4 linked regions of the Saccharomyces cerevisiae S288C genome follow. The protein of the gene in region 2 binds, or shares a complex with, the protein of the main gene of each other region. Each region holds a gene or a part of one and is shown on either strand. Other genes may lie near its edges. A codon is read from its position in the direction of its gene.

The links.
Region 1: RFC3 (region 2) and DCC1 share a complex: the UniProt entries of both Saccharomyces cerevisiae proteins name them as parts of the CTF18-RFC complex.
Region 3: the proteins of RFC3 (region 2) and RFC1 are in contact, whole or in part, in a crystal structure (PDB 1SXJ), measured with the Saccharomyces cerevisiae proteins. Residues at the interface, in NP_014109.1 of Saccharomyces cerevisiae: Asp120 (codon at 2,763), Met122 (codon at 2,769), Thr123 (codon at 2,772), Asn124 (codon at 2,775), Ala125 (codon at 2,778), Gln127 (codon at 2,784), His151 (codon at 2,856), Lys152 (codon at 2,859), Leu153 (codon at 2,862), Pro155 (codon at 2,868); in NP_014860.1 of Saccharomyces cerevisiae: Glu635 (codon at 3,406), Gln636 (codon at 3,409), Trp638 (codon at 3,415), Ser639 (codon at 3,418).
Region 4: RFC3 (region 2) and CTF18 share a complex: the UniProt entries of both Saccharomyces cerevisiae proteins name them as parts of the CTF18-RFC complex.

The regions. Positions count from the first base shown.
Region 1 is NC_001135.5:91,581-99,337, reverse strand, and holds DCC1 (Dcc1p), read left to right. Parts: upstream 1-3,574; coding exon 3,575-4,717; downstream 4,718-7,757. Other genes in the region: BUD3 (Bud3p), read right to left, coding at 1-3,057; NFS1 (cysteine desulfurase), read left to right, coding at 5,068-6,561; LEU2 (3-isopropylmalate dehydrogenase), read right to left, coding at 6,920-7,757. UniProt on the Saccharomyces cerevisiae protein: Component of the RFC-like complex CTF18-RFC which is required for efficient establishment of chromosome cohesion during S-phase and may load or unload POL30/PCNA.
Region 2 is NC_001146.8:83,813-91,547, forward strand, and holds RFC3 (replication factor C subunit 3), read left to right. Parts: upstream 1-2,405; coding exon 2,406-3,428; downstream 3,429-7,735. Other genes in the region: pseudouridine synthase PUS4, read left to right, coding at 1-205; MID1 (Mid1p), read right to left, coding at 357-2,003; PCL1 (Pcl1p), read left to right, coding at 4,085-4,924; CCR4-NOT core subunit CAF40, read left to right, coding at 6,491-7,612. UniProt on the Saccharomyces cerevisiae protein: Component of ATP-dependent clamp loader (RFC and RFC-like) complexes for DNA clamps, such as the POL30/PCNA homotrimer and the checkpoint clamp DDC1:MEC3:RAD17 complex.
Region 3 is NC_001147.6:747,798-752,386, forward strand, and holds RFC1 (replication factor C subunit 1), read left to right. Parts: upstream 1-1,503; coding exon 1,504-4,089; downstream 4,090-4,589. Other genes in the region: RUD3 (Rud3p), read right to left, coding at 1-1,182; STE13 (Ste13p), read right to left, coding at 4,417-4,589. UniProt on the Saccharomyces cerevisiae protein: Component of the ATP-dependent clamp loader RFC complex for the POL30/PCNA homotrimer DNA clamp.
Region 4 is NC_001145.3:422,003-426,512, reverse strand, and holds CTF18 (Ctf18p), read left to right. Parts: upstream 1-1,784; coding exon 1,785-4,010; downstream 4,011-4,510. Other genes in the region: phosphatidylinositol/phosphatidylcholine transfer protein SEC14, read right to left, coding at 454-1,359, 1,516-1,524; ESCRT-III subunit protein VPS20, read left to right, coding at 4,364-4,510. UniProt on the Saccharomyces cerevisiae protein: Essential for the fidelity of chromosome transmission. Required for the DNA replication block checkpoint.

The sequences.
Region 1 (7,757 bases), on a different chromosome or scaffold from region 2:
ATCATCTGTTTCTGCATCAAGTTTTTCAGGATAAGAAGACGCAGATACCTCTACATCTGCAAAATTGGAAATGTTATCCTGCTTTGTGGATTGATCCGCTTTTGGTTCGACATTTTTTTCGTTACTGGTATTTTCTGTCACAGGCTGAGAGGGATTGTAGGAGACATATTTTGTATCCCTTACTACTGAAGATATTCTGGTATTTTCTTGAGGATGTGCGCCATTTCCAACATCAGGTGGTTTTCCGATCAAGTCATCAGATTTGAATTCAACTGCTCGAAGAGAAGATTTAGCAGTTTGTGATTCTTTTGTGGAAAAAGAAGTACTTTTCTTTTTAATTTTGGGAGATGAAACGACTGCCCTTTTAGGGGAGGATTTCTTTTCTGAGGTCATTGGCTTCTTCACTGGAGACTTAGGATGCCTCTGCGATATTTTTTTAGGCACTCTTTGAACTGGTGAAGGCTTGCTCTTGCTTTTACTTCCAAAAACATTTTTTAACACGCCAAAAAACCCTTTGCCTTTGTTAGGCTTCTTCTTTTCTATGTGCTCTGCTTTAGAGGCGTTTGTCTTGGTCTTCTTTTGAATTTCTCTTGGTTTTTTTGAAGACTTTTTCGTAGGTTTCACTGGTAAAATTTCCTTAGTTTCCTTGGTGACATTACTATTATCGCCTGATGGACTGTCCTTCAAGTCGCTTGTATAGCTTCTAAATGTTGTTATGGTACCGTATGATCTTTTCTTCTCGTGAGTAGCATCGAAATCGGATGCACCGGAAAGTTTGCTATTAACAGCCCTATGTTCGTCTGTTGAAGGGTGCTTGACCTCTTCCAATTGATGTTCTAAGTTTTTTATCAAATTCTCATTTACACAGAGTAAATCTTTGGCCATCGATGAGTTTAAGGAAGAAAAGCATATCGGTATTTCAATGGCCAATTGATTAATTATGGTGAAAACAATGTTATCGGATGTAACTTCTATATGTTTATCGTCATGTTTGGTTAAGACGTCTAAGATTACGATGTTATCTCTACCATCGTTACTGCAAAATCTTGCAAAAAAAGCCAAATGAAGGTTGTTGACCTCCAATATCTCCTTGGATGGTGGTATGTTCAGGAATAAGGCAAATTTTGATTTTATTTTTTCGGAATCATAAGCGCAAAGCTCGTGAGCAGTAGAATATAATGTAAAATGGCTTCTACTAGCTTTAAATAAATGAAATGCAGTGTCTTTTTCCAAAATTCTAGCCTTCGTAATCAAGTCAGCAACTGACGAAGAAGAGATAAATGCAGAGGATAATTTACATACCATTGAGAAAGAATCTTTTCCCTTCAATCGATCAAAACGTAGAGTGCTTTTGTCTAATATAGAAACTAGAACCTCATCTATATAGCAATGACGCTCCACTTTCAACTTAGGGATCTTGGAGGGCAACGGAACTTCGTTGATCAATGAGTTCATTAAAATATCTGAGATTAAGGGCCTGTTTGATCCATCTGAAGTGTAGTAACTTTCTGCCTCCAGTATATTGATGAAAACCACATAATCACTGAATATGACTAATAAATTTCTCTTATTTTCATCATTCAAATCCACTACATCATACACACCGACTACCCTTCTCTTCAGCCATTTGTATTGCAGTTCTACGGGCCAGCATTTGGCTAATTCTGTAAGGATTTTTCCCGATGGAGTAAATACTCTGGTACTATAAGAATGAAGTGGGGAATCTAATTTTCCAAACGAATCAATGACATCAATGATATTGTTGTAGCATTTTTTTGCCATTTCTTGATTTTTCGGTCTCCATTTTTTCGACTTCCACAATCTCTCTATAATTAACTTTAGCTTCAGTAGTTTTTCCTGAGGTCCCTTAATTATACTCTCGATTTTCATTTCCGTGTAGACCTCTCTTTCTGGAATTACATTGCTGAAATGCCTAATAAACAATTTAATATCTTTGCTGAAGTTCTTTGTGGCCGCCTCGTGTCTTGTATATGCTTTGTAGAAATAAGGAATAGTAATGCTGCATGCCTTCAGTACTTCGAGGGAACCGTAAGGGATTGCTGTCTTTAGCGAGTCTAGAAAAATACAATTGATTCTTGTGACTTCATCTATTGTAGGTGGGAAGAGTCGATTTAATTTGGTTGTGGATAACCCATTAATTTCTTCATTGAGTACTCTGACTCTCAAGGCGATCAGGAATTTTTGCAAAAATTCTACCAAATTGAAAGTAAAATTTGTTTGTAGTTGTAATAACTCGTTGCAAATGGCCTTGACAAGATCATCATCCGATTCTGTGGGTAATTCGTCCTCTGGCGCCTTATAACCATATTCTGTCTGTTCCGGTGAGTATTCTGTGACTGGGTTAAAAAGTTGTTCAAGTTGTTCACCCAGATGGAATACCAACCTATTATTTAGTTCGATGGTGGATTCATTGTTTTCATAAATAACATCTAACAGGGTAGAGCTGACAAATCTATTTTGCAGAAGTCCTGATGTAAAGAAGCGCTTCCCCAGATCTTCTGGAGGAACTGCTGTTATCAACTGGCAACTACTAGCCAAATCTCCAGCATAAGGGGGGTCATAGTCGCAATTTTCCGATTTATTGGACAATATTTGTGATAAGTCTGATGGTGAAAGTAATGGATAGCGCTGTAACAGAATGACAGCAATGCATTTCTTAACATTGCTTTCCTGATCACTTGGACTCAAATTCTCAATGGCCGGATAGTATTGCGAGTTGGAAGATATATCGACGGATTCGAAGCATGATGTTCCTAATTTGTCGAATATTATAGCGTTCAACTTATTGCTGTTGGGGGACTTGTACACGCAGACAAAGAACTTCCCCCATATCAAGTCATCTGACCCGTGATAGAATACTGATTGAGTGAACACATTATCCGTCCAGTCTGAAAGTGATTTATCATCATCAAACAATGAATGACCATTTAGCGGTGTGGTCTCGACAACAGATTTGGATAGTTTGATGTTAAATAAGGTTTCATCGTTCTCTTTGTCTTTCTTTTCAGAGTAAAGAGACGACAGGTCTTTCTCCATTGGTGAGGTGTAAATATACTCTTTTAGCAACCAGATAACAGCCCGAACACGTAATGAGTAGCAGGTAGCAGCAGTAGAATGCGAGTACAGACAAACTAGTGTTGTTTTTACTATCCGCAGTGAGAGAAATCTTCCTCATTGAAGATCAAAGCCTTTGTTTACCATTGTTTTTATTTACCTTTTTAGAATTGTTCGAACAAAACCCTAGGTCTTGGCAACTGGCAATCGCTCAACATGACCTAATTTATAGCTTAGGGTTCTTTTTTGTCAATTCTATGCGTATGACAAAGAGCACCACGATGGTGATCGAAATCTCTAGGAGTAGCATACCACAGCGATATTATTTAGTAGTAGGCGGTTTATTATCTTTGTCCCTTTATACTGTTGTGTTTCTTGCTTATTGCTTCAGTAGGCAGCGTATAGTATAACCAGAAAAAAGTGAAAAATAAACTAAAAAAGCACTATGAGATGAACGGTAAAAATCCACCAGAGATTTGCTCACTAATAATCCTGTACCATGTCCATCAACCTACATTCCGCACCCGAGTATGATCCATCTTATAAGCTGATCCAGTTGACACCAGAGTTACTGGATATAATACAGGATCCGGTTCAAAATCACCAGTTAAGGTTTAAGTCATTGGACAAAGACAAGTCTGAAGTTGTACTGTGTTCGCACGACAAGACTTGGGTGCTGAAGCAGCGCAAACATTCAAACACAGTTCTACTAATGAGAGAATTTGTTCCTGAACAACCTATTACTTTCGACGAAACGCTCTTGTTTGGACTGTCCAAGCCGTACATGGACGTCGTGGGATTCGCCAAGACTGAATCAGAATTTGAGACCAGAGAGACACATGGCGAATTGAACTTGAATTCAGTACCAATATACAACGGAGAACTGGATTTCTCCGACAAAATCATGAAGAGGTCATCTACAAAGGTTATCGGGACCCTGGAAGAACTACTTGAGAACTCACCATGTTCTGCGCTAGAAGGTATATCAAAATGGCATAAGATTGGTGGATCTGTGAAAGACGGTGTGTTGTGTATTCTTTCACAAGACTTCCTTTTCAAAGCACTGCATGTACTACTGATGAGCGCAATGGCAGAATCACTCGATCTACAGCATCTGAATGTTGAGGATACACATCACGCTGTGGGGAAGGACATTGAGGACGAGTTCAATCCATACACAAGAGAAATCATTGAAACAGTGCTGAATAAATTTGCTGTTCAAGAGCAAGAGGCTGAAAACAATACGTGGCGCTTGAGAATACCGTTTATAGCTCAGTGGTACGGGATTCAAGCGCTAAGGAAATATGTTTCTGGAATAAGCATGCCAATTGATGAGTTCCTCATCAAGTGGAAGTCCCTTTTCCCACCTTTCTTCCCATGTGACATTGACATTGACATGCTGCGAGGCTATCATTTCAAGCCTACCGATAAGACTGTCCAGTATATAGCGAAAAGCACACTACCAATGGACCCCAAAGAACGGTTTAAAGTCCTGTTTAGGCTACAGTCACAGTGGGACTTGGAGGATATCAAGCCTCTAATTGAAGAACTAAATTCAAGAGGTATGAAAATAGACAGTTTCATCATGAAGTATGCCCGCCGTAAAAGACTGGGCAAAAAGACCGTGGTCACGAGCAGGTAGCACACAAAACTGCCTTCGATGGGCAATGCGAATATATAGCGGAACCACTAAAGTAATAGTGGATGACGTGAATAGCAACAAATATCTATCATAGTAGCTTTATATATTTATATATATTACAATACTATTATGCACCCTATTACCCGCAATAGTTGATAGTGACCTACCAATTTTAGATACGGTCGCTGACAAATAGTAAGGCCATCGCCCAGGGATATATGATGACTATCTAAGTAACTCACTCAGAGTAAAGACCGACAGAGTTCATTAGTGTGTTATATTTTCTATTTCAGATACATCATTTTCATTAAAATATATCGCATACACGAAGGAACTGCTACAACTGGAAGATGTTGAAATCAACTGCTACAAGATCGATAACAAGATTATCTCAAGTTTACAACGTTCCAGCGGCCACATATAGGGCTTGTTTGGTAAGCAGGAGATTCTATTCCCCTCCTGCAGCAGGCGTGAAGTTAGACGACAACTTCTCTCTGGAAACGCATACCGATATTCAGGCTGCTGCAAAGGCACAGGCTAGTGCCCGTGCGAGTGCATCCGGTACCACCCCAGATGCTGTAGTAGCTTCTGGTAGCACTGCAATGAGCCATGCTTATCAAGAAAACACAGGTTTTGGTACTCGTCCCATATATCTTGACATGCAAGCCACTACACCAACAGACCCTAGGGTTTTGGATACGATGTTGAAGTTTTATACGGGACTTTATGGTAATCCTCATTCCAACACTCACTCTTACGGTTGGGAAACAAATACTGCTGTGGAAAATGCTAGAGCTCACGTAGCAAAGATGATCAATGCCGACCCCAAGGAAATAATATTCACTTCGGGAGCGACCGAATCTAATAATATGGTTCTTAAGGGTGTCCCAAGATTTTATAAGAAGACTAAGAAACACATCATCACCACTAGAACGGAACACAAGTGTGTCTTGGAAGCCGCACGGGCCATGATGAAGGAGGGATTTGAAGTCACTTTCCTAAATGTGGACGATCAAGGTCTTATCGATTTGAAGGAATTGGAAGATGCCATTAGACCAGATACCTGTCTCGTCTCTGTGATGGCTGTCAATAATGAAATCGGTGTCATTCAACCTATTAAAGAAATTGGTGCAATTTGTAGAAAGAATAAGATCTACTTTCATACTGACGCCGCACAAGCCTATGGTAAGATTCACATTGATGTCAATGAAATGAACATTGATTTACTATCAATTTCTTCTCACAAGATTTACGGTCCAAAGGGAATAGGTGCCATCTATGTAAGAAGGAGACCAAGAGTTAGATTAGAACCTTTACTATCCGGTGGTGGCCAAGAGAGAGGATTGAGATCTGGTACTTTGGCCCCCCCATTGGTAGCGGGATTTGGTGAAGCTGCGAGATTGATGAAGAAAGAATTTGACAACGACCAAGCTCACATCAAAAGACTATCCGATAAATTAGTCAAAGGTCTATTATCCGCTGAACATACCACGTTGAACGGATCTCCAGATCATCGTTATCCAGGGTGTGTTAACGTTTCTTTCGCCTACGTGGAAGGAGAATCTTTATTGATGGCACTAAGGGATATCGCATTATCCTCGGGTTCAGCCTGTACATCTGCTTCCCTAGAACCTTCTTATGTTTTACATGCGCTGGGTAAGGATGATGCATTAGCCCATTCTTCCATCAGATTTGGTATTGGTAGATTTAGTACTGAAGAGGAGGTCGACTACGTCGTTAAGGCCGTTTCTGACAGAGTAAAATTCTTGAGGGAACTTTCACCATTATGGGAAATGGTTCAAGAAGGTATTGACTTAAACTCCATCAAATGGTCAGGTCATTGAGTGTTTTTTATTTGTTGTATTTTTTTTTTTTTAGAGAAAATCCTCCAATATATAAATTAGGAATCATAGTTTCATGATTTTCTGTTACACCTAACTTTTTGTGTGGTGCCCTCCTCCTTGTCAATATTAATGTTAAAGTGCAATTCTTTTTCCTTATCACGTTGAGCCATTAGTATCAATTTGCTTACCTGTATTCCTTTACATCCTCCTTTTTCTCCTTCTTGATAAATGTATGTAGATTGCGTATATAGTTTCGTCTACCCTATGAACATATTCCATTTTGTAATTTCGTGTCGTTTCTATTATGAATTTCATTTATAAAGTTTATGTACAAATATCATAAAAAAAGAGAATCTTTTTAAGCAAGGATTTTCTTAACTTCTTCGGCGACAGCATCACCGACTTCGGTGGTACTGTTGGAACCACCTAAATCACCAGTTCTGATACCTGCATCCAAAACCTTTTTAACTGCATCTTCAATGGCCTTACCTTCTTCAGGCAAGTTCAATGACAATTTCAACATCATTGCAGCAGACAAGATAGTGGCGATAGGGTTGACCTTATTCTTTGGCAAATCTGGAGCAGAACCGTGGCATGGTTCGTACAAACCAAATGCGGTGTTCTTGTCTGGCAAAGAGGCCAAGGACGCAGATGGCAACAAACCCAAGGAACCTGGGATAACGGAGGCTTCATCGGAGATGATATCACCAAACATGTTGCTGGTGATTATAATACCATTTAGGTGGGTTGGGTTCTTAACTAGGATCATGGCGGCAGAATCAATCAATTGATGTTGAACCTTCAATGTAGGGAATTCGTTCTTGATGGTTTCCTCCACAGTTTTTCTCCATAATCTTGAAGAGGCCAAAACATTAGCTTTATCCAAGGACCAAATAGGCAATGGTGGCTCATGTTGTAGGGCCATGAAAGCGGCCATTCTTGTGATTCTTTGCACTTCTGGAACGGTGTATTGTTCACTATCCCAAGCGACACCATCACCATCGTCTTCCTTTCTCTTACCAAAGTAAATACCTCCCACTAATTCTCTGACAACAACGAAGTCAGTACCTTTAGCAAATTGTGGCTTGATTGGAGATAAGTCTAAAAGAGAGTCGGATGCAAAGTTACATGGTCTTAAGTTGGCGTACAATTGAAGTTCTTTACGGATTTTTAGTAAACCTTGTTCAGGTCTAACA
Region 2 (7,735 bases):
GGTACTGGAGAAGGTTCTAGACGAGGGAGCAACTGTTGATGTTATAGAAGAGCTAAAGAAAGCAGAAAAGGAAATACCAGCGGACGTGAAGGAATGTATAGTTTCGAGTGATCAACCTGGTGATGAGGCTACGGCTGAAACAATTGAAACTGCTAACGCCGAAGAACATTCTAATACACTAAAAAGAAAAATCGAACAGGTGTAAAAAAGAGGAAGTTCGAACCATTTTTTTTTTTGGTCTTGTGAAGACTACGCTCTCATTTTATCTATTTTTTTATGTGTATATATGATTTAAAAAAAATCGATGTACTTATGCATTTAAATCGTTCAATTTTTTTGTGATAGTTCGGTCTCTTCTACGTATCGTCCAATGGATGAATTACCATCAAGGATGAGTTACCTATATAATTACAGGTTGAGTAGTCAGTGTCCATATAGAAATTGTAACTTTGATAAAGAAGATCTTCCGTAGTAAGATCATTCGGACAGGAAAATTGAAAATCGCTTGGGCAATTTCGTACTAATGTATAGCACATGTCAATACAAGGTAGAATTTCGTAATAGTCATCCAAAGGTTTAATAAATTTATTCAAATAATCATTACGGTTGTGACTTTTATCTCTGTGGATGTAGTATTGGGAAGACGTCGTGGTGCATCTCGGAATTGATACTGCACATACCCAATCACGATAAGCTTCGGCACAATCGTCACAAGTCATGACCGGAGAATATCTTGCGTCTTTGTCTGCGTCACAGGATATTAACTGTAGAGCTTTGCTAAAATTTGCATATAGTGCCTCTGCAATGTGGTCATATGTCTGCGCCATGAGAGTTTTATTACCCACAGAAAATGAGGATGTAGGAACAGAGTAAGCGACGTCACTGCAGAAGTCCAAACCAAAGATCAAAGAGCAGACATCGGTACTTCTTGTGGTAAAATAAACATGTGAAAATAAAATGCCGCCCACACTTGACAACCCATCACCATTACTGATTTTCTTTGTCAGGTACGCTACATAAGTTGTTGAGGCATTCAGTCCTGTCACGTAAAACATTTCTGTCACGCTACCACCATATTCTGTAATTTTTTTTTGAATCGCCAAGTCAGTACGCTCTAAAGGATTTGTACTATTTGACGTAACTGTTGCATTTGATGTATTTTGGGAAGACACTAAATATGGTCCATTTTTCACAGCACAAAGAGATAAATTATAGTTTTGGTTTAGTTGAACAGAATCTTCGTACGAGTAAACATACAGATCGTACAAGGATGGATCATATATTGAATAATTGTGATAAACTTTGGCGTCTGCGGTGACATTCCCCGTTGATAGTAATGCAGAATTCATATCAGTGTCCAGGACCTCTACCCAAGGCCTTACATCCCACTGAAAAACCAAATCGTTCTCAGAGATACTCAGTCTATATTCCCAATTTTCAGAGGCGTCGGAACTGGACAGAGGTTGCTCCGTAGTGGAATTCACTAGCTCAGCGACCACATAAAGATTTGAATACGTGGAGGTAGCGTTCGAGCTAGAAGACTGCACTGGACTGATGGCTAATGCTTGGATGTAGCCATCCTGAAAAACTGCACTTTGACCTATATTTGGGTTCTCTAAAACCGTTTCATTAAAAGAGTAGTATATTGTTAAATCCACATCTGATCTATTCATGGGCATTTGGCATATATTGCCGCTAATAAACATTAACACTTCATACGTGGGAGCAAACCCATAACCGGAGGCTTCTGCGTCAATGGTAAATACAAAACTGTCTTTTTTGCCCGCTGTTATGTTAGATAAGATCGGGGTCCATTCATAAATGCTATCCGAATTGATGATTGTTTGTTGACCAGTAGCCATAACGTTTTTCTCCCATCTATTTAGGCTGGGAAACTTTAAGGAAATATTCTTATTTGCGAAAGGATTGAAGTCTTGGAATAAACCGTGAATAGAAGTGGTAAATAGGCAGTAAACCACGAATAGTGCTTGCCACACTATCATCCTTAGAAATAATACTGCCGCTGGACAGAAATTGTAGTGTTACGGGTTTTACTGCAATTCAGTATGGCAGTTAAGCCAGTCAAGTATTTGAGAAATAGCCAAAACGGTACGTCAGCCGGTCGAAATTATTAGGGAAATTTTCCGCAACCAATGGCTCAGTTTCAGTAACCTGTTCTTGAGAAAACAACACGTTTACTTGTAGAGTTACTATTGCGGTCCGATGGCAGCGAAACTATATCATTATTATATTATGTATGGCTTCTCAATTTTGATCTTTTTTTTTTTTGGTCAGTACGCGATTTTGAAAGAAATGGAAAGAAGCTATAAAGAGCACAGGATAAATATCTTTTCAAAGCTTGAATAATTTTATAAAAGGTGTAGGAACAGGCCCGACATACAAGAATGTCGACAAGTACAGAGAAGAGGAGCAAAGAAAACCTTCCATGGGTTGAAAAATACAGACCCGAAACGTTGGACGAAGTGTACGGACAAAATGAGGTGATCACCACAGTTCGTAAATTTGTAGATGAAGGTAAATTGCCACATCTTCTATTCTATGGGCCTCCAGGTACCGGTAAAACTTCTACAATTGTTGCTTTGGCACGTGAGATATATGGTAAGAATTACTCGAACATGGTTTTGGAGCTGAATGCATCCGATGACAGAGGTATTGATGTGGTGAGGAATCAAATTAAAGACTTTGCCTCTACAAGACAAATCTTCTCTAAAGGGTTCAAGTTAATTATACTGGATGAAGCAGATGCCATGACCAATGCCGCACAAAATGCGTTGAGAAGAGTTATAGAACGGTACACCAAGAATACGCGGTTCTGTGTATTGGCCAATTATGCGCATAAACTTACACCTGCGTTATTGAGTAGGTGCACGAGATTCAGATTTCAGCCCTTGCCCCAAGAGGCCATTGAGCGTCGGATAGCCAACGTCTTGGTGCATGAGAAGCTGAAGTTGTCTCCTAATGCGGAGAAGGCCTTAATAGAACTTTCTAATGGGGATATGAGACGTGTGTTAAACGTTTTGCAGTCTTGCAAAGCTACTTTAGACAATCCCGACGAGGATGAGATCAGTGACGACGTTATCTATGAATGCTGTGGGGCACCCAGACCAAGTGACTTAAAGGCAGTATTGAAGTCGATACTGGAGGACGATTGGGGTACCGCCCACTACACACTTAATAAGGTACGCAGTGCCAAGGGTCTCGCGTTGATCGACCTAATCGAGGGCATAGTGAAGATACTGGAAGACTACGAACTTCAAAATGAGGAAACAAGAGTGCATTTGCTTACCAAACTGGCCGATATAGAGTACTCGATATCCAAGGGTGGCAACGACCAGATTCAGGGCAGCGCGGTCATTGGCGCCATCAAGGCCAGCTTCGAGAACGAAACTGTTAAAGCCAACGTATAATCGACGCAAATATGTATAGATACAATATGTACAGAACAACTGCATTGTGCAATATAACAACATAACACAACGCCCAGAACGAAATAAAAAAAATAAAAGAAATAGATGAAAGCATTTTCAATTTGCATACCGGAAACCGTAAATCAATTGGCGTCTAGCTAACAACTGAGAATGCGAATCGCCAAATTGTTACAGAAAGTAGCATTCCGTTACGTGATCTGTACTTTAACCTCTTGGACGTAAAGAATGGCAGAACTCTGGCTCTAGTGTTCTGCGAATGCCAGATCGGGAAATATTTCCCAAAAGGGCAACAGCGGCACGAACAAGAATTTCGTGTTAAAAATCGCGTCCGGCGCGAAATTTTTCGCGGAGGCATGCGACGCAAAAGCGACTCGAAATGTCGGGAGCCAAATGAGGCTACAAGGCTGTGGGCAGATTTTGGCGTTATTATGGAGAATAAAAGGAATGGTAGCTTCCATATAGCGATAGGAAAACATATATAAGGTCAATAGGCCTACATGGTAATGGGATTGATAAGCTTGTCCTTAACTCTTGTGTCTTGGAATTACTATTGCGTACATCAGCAATCATCCATTGTCAAGAACAAAAACGATAACAAAAACAATCAATTATACAAATAACAGTAAAGTAATAAAATGTGTGAATACAGCAAGGCTCTTCATATTCTGCTCAAGTCGCCAGTAACGGATGACATAATAAAATTCTTAACAGACACAACATTGAGGGTTGTTCCTTCAAGCAACTACCCCACGCCTCCCGGTTCTCCAGGAGAGAAACACCTCACAAGGCTGCCATCGCTAATGACTTTTATCACTAGATTGGTCAGATACACCAACGTCTACACACCCACTCTGCTCACCGCTGCGTGCTATTTGAACAAATTAAAGCGTATTCTGCCCAGGGACGCTACTGGTCTCCCCTCGACCATCCATCGCATTTTCTTGGCCTGTTTGATACTGAGTGCTAAGTTTCACAATGACTCTTCTCCTTTAAACAAGCACTGGGCTAGGTACACCGATGGTCTCTTTACACTAGAGGATATCAACCTTATGGAAAGGCAGTTGTTACAGCTGTTGAACTGGGACCTCAGGGTGAACACAGAAGATTTGATCCTAGATCTGCAGCCTCTATTAGAGCCCATCAAGCAAGACTTGGCAAGATCCAGCGACCAAAGGAAGAGAATTAACATGATGATGTCCATGAACAGAAGGACTTGTGCTGGCACGAGTCCTATCAGATCAAACAACAGATTCAAACTCTACGAAAAACAGAGAAACGTGTCGATAGCATCCGATTTAAGTTCTGCTACTCTAGTCGACAGTTGTAATGATCTAAGAAGGCTAAAAGATGTAACCAACATAGCGAACAACACAGTCGCTAACACGAATTACGTCAGGACGGTAGAGAAATGGAACGACAATGTCAACAGGCAAAGTTGGGATCTGGAACAGATCATGAGTCAACATGGGTTTTAATGTGGTAAACAAGATGGCCCTTACGGGGCTCTTAGTGGGAGAAAGATTTTTAATAGAGCATAATTAACGGATACATAATATATTATAAATTTAAATAATCAAGGATACCTAATAATAATAACAATCAACTGAACACAACATTAAAAATGGTATTTGTTATTGTATGTTAAGCCCTAAGTGATTGTGCCGTTATAACTTCCATTCGGGTGATACCTGCAATATGAGGAAGAAAAAAGATAAATTTTTTCTTCTTAAAGTATAAAAGGCGGACATATTTGATTTAAATGCAGAAGTTTTCTCTCAGTGGTTTATGTTTTACATATGATAGAAAAAATGAAGCAATAGCAAAGTATCGTAGTGCGAACCGGTCTCGTAACTTTGATAAGTTTATCAAAGGCGTTAACATTTTGTTTCGTAATAGTACCTTAACACATGACGAAGATGAAAATTAAACATGAATTCAAGGAAAAATGGTAAATGACGAGAAAAAAGCTGTGCACCAGTCTGAACATGGATGCCACAAGTACTCAGGTGTCCTATGAAGCATTAAGTATACCCAAATTTCTGATCCATTTTCCTTTATTTTCTTTTTTTTTTTTCTCTCACATCTGTGACTGTATTATGAGCAAACTGTTTACGTTGAACGGAATCGATATGTAAATTAAATCTTTTGAAATATGTAGGACAGTGCTTGTATAGGTCTGTTAAGTAGATTATAGAATGTACGCCTTTTTTCTGGGCGTGAAATAGATCAGAAATCCTGTTAGGTTGCCACTGGTCCATTTCAGTGTTGCTCATCCAATCAATCATGTATTTACATGCCTGGAGTGGCCTATTCTATGTATTAACAGCCTTTGCAAGACGCGACATTGTTCTTTCCGATATGGCTCGGAGTAGACTAAATATGCTACTTATAGTTTTTCTTGCGTATACCATTGTCTTATAGTTTTTGCACACATTAATGTTTAAAATTGAAACTACGAAGCAAAACAATAAAAAAAACAAACAAAACTTAAAAATAAACAAAAGACGCTCGAAACCAAGTGCATTTATTGAATGTTTTTGGGAATGCAAGTAGCAATACTATTGTAAAAGTACTACTATTTCCCTGTATCATACGCTTTTACTACTATTCCTCACATAAAGCGAGATGCTTACAGAATGCATAAGAGAGAGAAGAAAACCCTATTACGCCCACTTGTCTATATTAGATTACTGTCCCTATTTATATCATCATTGCAAAACGTGAGCACCTCATTAGACGTAGATTCTTGCATAAGTATTACTAGCAGGAGAGGAAAAACTCCACCCACACACCTCAACATGCTGAGAATTTTGCTGCGAGCAGCAAGAGGCAAAATCCAAATTTAAAGTAATTTACGCATAGAAGACATTGTAAAGGGATTGCAAAGACGTAGAGTACGCAAGTTAGAAACCGTTCATCTTTTAAAACTCCCAAGTTTTGACAAATTTGCGAGTGTGTGTGTTTCTGCTGATCTTGACGAGATTAAACTTTGTTCCTGAAGCAACAACGACAGCAACTGAACATCCTCTGAATAAGTTAATATGTTTTCCGCTCAAAAGCCAATATATGGCAATGGAGCAGGCGTGAACATGGGTGGTGGTGGTCCTTCAACTAATAATCCAGGATCTATGTCCATGCCTGGGGTTCCAACTTCAATGGGTCCAGGCATGAATCAACAAATTCCAAGTGGAGGCCCCATGCTAATGGGCAATACTCCGAATAATAATAATAGCAATGAAAATGGCGAGAACAACGGCAATAACGGCAATAACGGCGGTAACGATGCTAACGCAACTCGAAACAATCCCAACATGGTCAATAATAGAGGCGCAGTGCATGCTCTAGATGATCCCAATGTATACCACTGGATTTGTCAATTGACCTACGGCCCTCAAAAGGAACAAGCACTGCTTGAATTAGGTCGCAAAAGAGAACAGTTTGATGACCTTGCCGTTGTGCTTTGGTCTTCCTTTGGTGTAATGACCTCATTGCTGAACGAAATCATTTCCGTATATCCCATGCTGCAACCTCAGATGCTCTCTAACAATCTATCAAATCGTGTATGCAACGCTCTAGTTCTTCTACAGTGTGTTGCATCTCACCCAGAGACAAAACATCTCTTTTTACAGGCCCATATTCCTCTCTTTCTTTTCCCCTTCCTAAATACTACCTCCAGGCAAAGAACTTTTGAGTACTTGAGATTGACTTCATTAGGTGTGATAGGCGCATTGGTCAAAAATGACTCACAAGACGTAATAACGTTTTTGCTAAGAACCGATATCGTGCCGTTATGCCTAAGGATCATGGAATCTTCTTCTGAGCTTTCCAAGACAGTCGCCATTTTCATTTTACAGAAAATCCTACTAGATGACGTTGGATTGCAATACATCTGTGCCACCTTGGAAAGGTTCTACGCCGTAACTAATGTCTTAAAAGATATGGTTGAGCACTTGACCGTGAGCACACCACCGGGACGACTACTGAAACATATCATTAGATGCTACTTAAGATTAAGCGACGATCTCGAAGCACGCAGGCTATTGAAAATAGTCTTACCTGCCAAACTGAGAGATAACACTTTTACGGAAGTACTAAGAGACGACGTCGGGTCCAAGAGATGTCTGGCACAATTGCTACTGACATTAAACGAAGAAACCTCATGATGCATCCCCATAGATATATTACTGTTTTTCTCTTTCTATTTTCCTGTATTGTTTTAACCTTGCCTTTTTGTTTTAGTTTCACTTCCTCACCTCTCCTAATTTTGTATAGTTATATTTATATGC
Region 3 (4,589 bases), on a different chromosome or scaffold from region 2:
CAGTGCCTTTGTTAAATGCTCATTTAGTATAATGGCTTCGTGACGTAGTTTTCCGATCTGTAAGATGTGCTGCTTAGATTCTTCCTCATATTTTTCCTTCATAGAGGCGTCCTCCTTCATGGCTTCTAGCTGTTTTTTCATGCTTTCTAAAGCTTCTGTGTCATTGTTGTGCGTTTCTATCTCCGTGTCAAGTTGGGATCGTAAAGATTTGACTTCCTGGTCTCTCTCTCTAGCCTCTTCTTCCCTTTTGTTGTCAACTTCTTCTATCTTCAATTCCAGATCATTTAGAGAATTCTTTAATACTGCTTTCTCCTTTTCATGGGATTCCAAAGCCTGTCTCAATTCATCTCTTTCTGTTCTCAAGTCAGATATATCTTGTTTATTATTTTCTAAGATTATCATGAGTTCCTGAACTTGGAGATTTAATTGATCTTTTTCCTTCCTGTAAGTGTTAAGTTCCTTACTATGTTTTTCAATTATGTCGTGTTTTTCATCTTCCAAAGCTTCTATCCTTGATTCGTATTCCAAAAAAACCTCTTCTGTACTTTCTTGCTCCTTTTCTAGGTTTTCTAACTCTGTATTTAGGGTCACAATCGTGGATTGTAATTCAGAGTTTTCGGTCTTGGTAGCTTCAAGTTTCTTCTTCAATTTCAGATTTTGTGATTCATATTCAGTAAGCTGCTCCTGCACTTCCTCTAATTGTTTTTGTGCTTCTTTCATCTTATTAAAAATTGATTTCATAGAAGATATCTTGCTCAATAATGTGTCATACTGTGTTTTGAATTCGTCTCTTTCCTTAATAACATTTGCTAGTTCATTTTTGAAGTCTTCATTAGGCGTTTCTTGATCCTTCTTGTGGCTTAGTTCCAATTTTAAACGTTCAATTTCTTCCCTTAGTTCCTTCATCTCATCACCAGCCTTTTTGTCCTCTAAAGGATTTATGGTGTCTACAGTCAGGCCGTCATTTACTTTTTGTTTGTCTACTCCTTCAGAGAGATCTTTCCCCTCATCGTCCGGGCTTGCCACGATACCATCAGCCTCTGGATCTGTGGACATTTTTGGAGGAACGGTGACGTTTACAGAATTGATGATTTCTTCAGGTTTATTGACGGTTTCATCAACGTCCTCCACATGAGGATGACTCTTGGCCTTCTTACCTGTTTTCTTCTTATTTTTACCCATTCTAATTAAAAAAAATGCAATTGTTTGAGGGGATCAAGTGGAAAGTATACACAAGCATCTACTATATAGCTGTTTATACAAGATTTTCTTGTTCTTCATGAATGGTCTTTCTGTTTGTTTCCATTTTTCGTATCGAAATGAGCACGAAATTCAAAAAGAAGTACTGAAAAAAAAATCAACATGAGAAGGAACAGCCGATCTCTCAGCGAAAACAGTGGCTTCGTTGAATACGCTGCTTGATCCTTACACAATAAGGAATTGGGTATCTCGCAGTTAATTTTATAACTTCAAGTCACTTCATAATAAACTAAGCTGAAGAAAATGGTCAATATTTCTGATTTCTTTGGTAAAAATAAGAAATCCGTAAGATCGTCAACATCCAGACCTACGAGACAGGTGGGTTCGTCTAAACCAGAAGTTATCGACTTAGATACTGAATCTGACCAAGAATCAACCAATAAAACACCAAAGAAGATGCCTGTAAGTAATGTAATTGATGTATCAGAGACACCTGAAGGAGAAAAAAAGCTACCTCTTCCCGCTAAGAGGAAGGCCTCTTCACCAACTGTAAAGCCAGCAAGTTCAAAAAAAACCAAACCCTCCTCTAAAAGTTCAGACTCGGCTTCGAATATTACGGCTCAAGATGTACTAGATAAGATTCCATCCTTGGATCTGTCAAATGTTCATGTGAAAGAGAATGCTAAATTTGATTTCAAAAGCGCAAATTCAAATGCGGATCCAGATGAAATTGTTTCTGAAATAGGTAGTTTTCCAGAAGGAAAGCCAAATTGTTTATTAGGTCTAACAATTGTCTTCACAGGTGTTCTGCCAACCTTGGAGCGTGGTGCATCGGAAGCTTTAGCGAAAAGATACGGAGCAAGGGTTACTAAATCAATTTCAAGCAAAACTTCTGTAGTAGTCTTAGGTGATGAAGCAGGGCCAAAGAAACTAGAAAAAATCAAGCAATTGAAAATCAAAGCCATAGACGAAGAAGGCTTTAAGCAATTAATTGCTGGGATGCCTGCTGAAGGTGGTGACGGGGAAGCTGCCGAAAAAGCACGTCGAAAATTAGAAGAACAGCATAATATTGCTACCAAAGAAGCAGAATTGCTTGTTAAGAAAGAAGAGGAAAGGTCGAAGAAGCTTGCAGCCACTAGAGTTTCTGGTGGCCATCTGGAGAGAGACAATGTGGTTAGGGAAGAAGATAAATTGTGGACAGTAAAGTACGCACCAACGAATCTACAACAGGTCTGTGGTAACAAAGGAAGTGTAATGAAATTAAAAAACTGGTTGGCTAATTGGGAAAATTCAAAGAAAAATAGTTTTAAACATGCTGGTAAAGATGGCTCTGGTGTTTTCAGGGCTGCAATGTTATACGGTCCTCCTGGTATTGGGAAGACAACTGCTGCTCATTTAGTTGCACAAGAGCTTGGGTATGACATTCTTGAACAAAACGCTTCTGATGTTCGCTCTAAAACTTTACTTAATGCCGGTGTTAAAAACGCTCTTGATAACATGTCTGTAGTGGGATATTTCAAACACAACGAAGAAGCTCAAAATTTGAACGGGAAACATTTTGTCATTATCATGGATGAAGTTGATGGTATGAGCGGAGGCGATAGGGGGGGAGTTGGCCAGCTGGCACAGTTTTGTCGTAAGACGTCAACTCCATTGATTCTAATTTGTAATGAACGTAATTTACCAAAAATGAGACCATTCGATAGAGTATGTCTTGATATCCAATTTAGAAGACCTGATGCTAACAGTATCAAATCAAGATTAATGACAATTGCGATCAGAGAAAAGTTCAAACTTGATCCAAATGTCATTGATAGGTTGATACAGACTACAAGAGGTGATATCCGCCAGGTTATTAATCTACTTTCAACGATATCTACGACTACTAAAACCATAAACCATGAAAATATCAACGAGATCTCAAAGGCATGGGAAAAGAATATTGCCCTAAAACCCTTTGACATTGCCCATAAAATGTTGGATGGACAAATATACTCAGACATAGGTTCAAGGAACTTTACACTGAATGATAAGATCGCATTATATTTTGATGACTTTGATTTCACACCCCTAATGATTCAGGAAAACTATTTATCTACAAGACCAAGCGTTTTGAAACCCGGCCAGTCACATTTGGAAGCAGTTGCTGAGGCGGCTAACTGTATTTCATTAGGTGATATTGTCGAAAAGAAGATTCGTAGTAGTGAGCAATTATGGAGTCTTTTGCCTTTGCATGCTGTTCTTTCATCTGTTTATCCAGCATCAAAAGTTGCCGGCCATATGGCGGGAAGAATCAATTTCACAGCTTGGTTGGGCCAAAATTCTAAATCTGCCAAATATTATAGGTTACTGCAAGAGATACATTATCATACAAGACTAGGTACATCTACTGATAAAATTGGACTAAGGCTGGATTACCTACCAACTTTTAGAAAAAGATTATTGGACCCATTTTTGAAGCAAGGTGCTGATGCAATTTCATCTGTCATAGAGGTAATGGACGATTACTATTTGACCAAAGAAGACTGGGATTCTATTATGGAGTTTTTCGTAGGTCCTGATGTGACCACAGCCATTATCAAAAAGATACCAGCTACGGTTAAAAGTGGATTCACGCGGAAATACAACAGTATGACACATCCAGTCGCAATTTACAGAACAGGTAGTACTATTGGTGGTGGTGGTGTTGGCACCAGTACTAGCACCCCCGATTTCGAAGATGTCGTTGACGCAGATGACAATCCAGTTCCCGCAGATGATGAAGAAACACAAGATAGTAGCACAGACTTGAAGAAGGATAAACTTATCAAGCAGAAAGCCAAACCTACGAAGAGGAAGACTGCCACCAGTAAACCTGGTGGTAGCAAAAAAAGGAAAACGAAAGCATGATTTATTCATACACTAAGATTATAATTACACTTTTCTTCTCATTGATTTTGTGAGCCGTTCTATCACAGATACGAAAACTGTGTGGTGATAATAGCTCGATGGGTATCATCACCGCCCTATATAAAATACTCTTATTAGTATAGTACACAAAATAATGTACCTGTACGTACAACCGTCGTTAAATATTACATTTATTAGGTCTAACATTTGTACCTAATATGTCATTCCAAAATTATGCGTTGCAATTGAGAAACTTCATATTATTATATTATTAATCGCGTGTTTGTCTCTATCGTTATCGTTAATATCGCAATCATCCATAAAGTTTTATAAATGCAAAACTTCAGTGTTGTCAAAGCGTTCAGCAAAGGCATCCCTTAACCAATAGTATAGTTTTTGGAATACAATTCTTTGAGCGTTGTGGTACCGGATGGAATGATCAGAGTCTGGAAAAATGTGCATGTCATAGTTCGTCAATCCCAATAGATTCAGTTGATCAA
Region 4 (4,510 bases), on a different chromosome or scaffold from region 2:
CTACTAATCTCTTTGCTAAAACATGTTGCAACCAAATAGGGCTACCATTGTACTTCTAATGAATACTCTTTACGGCGCACTGCAATGCGTAATAAAGTTTTATTGTAGCGAGGTTTCATTTTTGCTTATGTTCTTTTTATTGTTTAATACGTGCATATGTATTCTATAAGATAAATGTATATAACTGCCAACAAAATAAACTAAAATCAAGGTATGGCTGTAGAAAATGATACCACAGATAATAAAATAATAAATAATCTAATAGCTGAGTGGAAGAAAAAAAAAAAATAAAAAAAGAGTAGTACAAACTAAGGAGATAAAAGTGTGAACTATGCCTATTCAAAAAAGTAGAATAGAGTAAATAAGCATACTTGTACTTATCTCAGTTGTAAAATATCGTTACTTAGAACTCCTCTTTTCTCTCTCGAAAAAAAAATGTCTTTAAAAATAATATCATTTCATCGAAAAGGCTTCCGGAGCTTCACCTTCCGGTCCAATATACTTTGGATCCCTCCATGGACCGATATCGGATAGGTATAACCCACCCTTGGATTCATCAACTTCAGACTTACCGCCAAATTTGACTGGTAAGTTTTCAGCTGGAATTTGCTTTAATAATTCCTTCTGGTAAGAAGAACCCAAGATAAAAATCTTTGAAACAGTGACTGGATCCAAGAAAGGTTTAAATAGCCTAAATGCGGTAGAGAAACCGAATGGCGCGTTGATGATGTAAAATTTACCCATACGTTCGGGGTAATAGTTTTGACTTATGTAGGAGGCTTCCCTAACATATGACATAACACTGTATGCACTAGATATGGAGATACCTTTCAAATCCATAATTGTACATGAAGTTTCCACTAGGTGACCAGCAGCTCTTGAACAGGCAGGTAATCTGTATTGAACGACAGATTCGTATTCCCAAACCAAGTTTTTCAACATCCTCTCTTCAGAGGTAACCTTGTTCATTTCATGTAAGTTAACAGCACCTAATTCTTCAAAATATACTGGGCGGCCATCTTTATCGGTTTTATGATAATATTGTGGGTAGAATTTGGCAATCAATGGTTTTTCATCATAATGAAAATCTTGCAAGATAGTGTCGGTACCATAATCCTTCCTCCATTTTTCGCAGTTTTCAAACATTTCTTTAGCCAATTGAACATCAAATTTTCTGGCTCTCAAAAAACGTAGTAAAGTTGAATCGTCTAAACGTTCAATGAAACCAGCGTCTTCCAAAAGTTTTCTTAGTTCTGCCAATGCCTTCTCTTGAGCGCTGTCTAAATTTCCTGGAGTACCAGGCAAGGCATCTGGAGGACAGTTTTGAGGGTAGGATTCTAAAAATTCCTTTTCTTGTTGCTATTTAAAGTGAAGTCATAGTAATACCACTTGTGTTTGTTAGTAAACTTATTGATATATCATTTTTGCTTCATATAGACAGAACTATCTGAAGAATGTGAATATTGTCACAATGAATGTCAAAAAAAGAAAAAGTAAATAAAAGCAACAACATACTGTAACCATTGTGTTTTAGGGCGATGAAGGTTTGGTTTGATGCTACAGGCGCTGGTCAAGCGATATACCAGGAAAGGACACTTAAGACACAAACAAAGGAAGATGTACCATTTTATTGTTGATCAACGTTGAAAAAAAAAATGTGGAAAAAACGAACTAGCCAGTCGCGTTGTACGGAACATCTAACACGTAAATAAACATGATTTCATATATTTTATTCCTAATGTGTACACTATTTGACCCAAAAGGTGGATGTAAGGTCAGGGATCATGGTTGATACCGCACCATACATTGGTTCACTAGGGAGAAGTTCCCTTTTTGATACTGGTGATATAGAACAAGCCCCTGGTAATAATGCAATTGGTATTAATGAGGAAGATATTCACGCGTTTGTATCAAGTACTGGCGAAACGGTTCAATTAAAGAAGAAGCCTGCGAAGTTAGCAACCGGGAATATTAGTCTATACACTAACCCAGATACTGTTTGGAGATCAGACGACACGTACGGCATCAATATAAACTATTTGTTAGACAAAATTGAGGCATCTGGCGATGACCGCACTAACGCACAAAAGACTTCACCTATAACTGGCAAGATAGGTAGCGACACACTCTGGGTAGAGAAATGGCGTCCTAAAAAATTTCTAGATTTGGTTGGTAATGAAAAGACAAACAGGAGAATGTTAGGTTGGTTGAGACAATGGACGCCGGCTGTGTTTAAAGAGCAATTACCCAAATTGCCAACCGAAAAAGAGGTCAGTGATATGGAACTCGATCCATTGAAAAGGCCACCAAAGAAAATTTTACTACTGCACGGGCCACCAGGAATAGGCAAAACCTCAGTAGCTCACGTTATTGCCAAACAATCAGGGTTTTCTGTCTCAGAAATCAATGCAAGTGATGAAAGGGCTGGACCTATGGTAAAAGAGAAAATATATAATCTTTTATTCAATCATACTTTCGATACAAATCCTGTGTGCTTAGTGGCGGATGAGATTGATGGAAGTATTGAGAGTGGATTTATTAGAATTTTAGTTGACATTATGCAAAGCGATATTAAAGCCACTAATAAACTATTATACGGTCAACCAGATAAAAAGGACAAAAAGCGCAAAAAGAAAAGGTCTAAATTGCTTACGCGACCTATTATTTGTATTTGCAATAATCTATATGCTCCTTCTTTGGAAAAGCTGAAACCATTCTGTGAAATTATTGCTGTGAAAAGACCTTCCGATACTACCCTACTAGAGCGATTGAACCTTATCTGCCATAAAGAAAACATGAATATTCCTATAAAAGCAATCAATGACTTAATTGATTTGGCTCAAGGTGACGTAAGGAATTGTATAAACAATTTACAATTCTTGGCCTCGAATGTTGATTCAAGAGATTCCTCTGCATCAGATAAACCTGCTTGTGCAAAAAATACGTGGGCGTCATCCAACAAGGACTCCCCCATATCATGGTTTAAAATCGTGAACCAATTGTTTAGAAAGGATCCACATCGTGATATAAAGGAGCAGTTTTATGAATTGCTAAACCAAGTAGAGCTTAATGGTAACTCTGACAGGATATTGCAAGGCTGTTTTAATATATTTCCCTACGTAAAATATTCCGACAATGGTATAAGAAAGCCAGCAAACATTTCAGATTGGCTATTTTTCCATGATTTAATGTACCAATCAATGTATGCGCATAATGGCGAATTGTTACGTTACTCCGCCCTTGTGCCCCTAGTCTTCTTCCAAACGTTTGGCGATATCGCAAACAAAGATGATATTAGAATGAAGAATAGTGAATACGAACAACGTGAATTAAAACGAGCCAATTCAGATATAGTTAGTCTGATTATGAGACATATCTCGGTTCAGTCCCCACTAATGGCAAGTTTTACGGATAGAAAATCGTTAATCTTTGAAATACTACCATATCTAGATTCGATGATCTCTTCCGATTTTAATAAAATAAGGAACCTGAAACTCAAACAAGCCATCATGGAGGAATTAGTTCAATTGCTGAAAAGCTTTCAACTGAATCTAATCCAAAATCGGTCAGAAGGATTTGATGTAAGGGGTGGCCTAACAATCGATCCCCCAATCGATGAAGTCGTATTGTTAAATCCTAAACATATTAACGAAGTCCAACATAAACGGGCTAATAATTTGAGTTCACTGTTAGCAAAGATTGAGGAAAACCGGGCCAAGAAAAGGCATATAGACCAAGTGACTGAGGATAGACTACAGTCACAGGAAATGCATAGCAAAAAAGTCAAAACTGGGTTAAATTCTTCCTCAAGTACAATCGACTTTTTCAAGAATCAGTACGGATTATTGAAGCAAACTCAGGAATTGGAAGAGACACAAAAAACTATTGGATCAGACGAAACCAACCAAGCAGATGACTGCAATCAAACGGTTAAAATATGGGTGAAATACAATGAGGGGTTCTCTAACGCTGTCAGGAAAAATGTGACTTGGAATAACCTGTGGGAATAAATGACGTAAGATATATACGCAGTCTCTCTTAAGAAGCATACTTGTATATGGACCAGCAGCTTACATAGAAATCTAAAAGAAGTAAATAAAGAACATTAGCAATCAATCCTGCCGGTAGTCGCAACAGCTCCGATTTTGTCACGCAGCGTTCGTTTTTTATTCGTGATCTTTTACCCTCTTCGCTATCGTTCTTATTTCTACATAAATGGAACCCCGAAGAGCAGAAAGACCGAAAATCGAATTACTATCTGTGGGATACAATATAGCGCATAGAAAAGAACAAAACATAGATAGTTTGGAAAAATAGTACAGACTGCTGAATTAACTCCACTTGGTGCTTTTGTATATATCGAATGGGCCAAAAAAGTAGTAAAGTGCATATAACCAAAACAGATAGGGCGATCCTAGAAGTAAAACGATCTAAAGATGAAATTCATAAGTTTACGAGGAGGACAGATAATTTGATTTTGGTAGAGAAGAGTCAACTAAAAGACCTAATA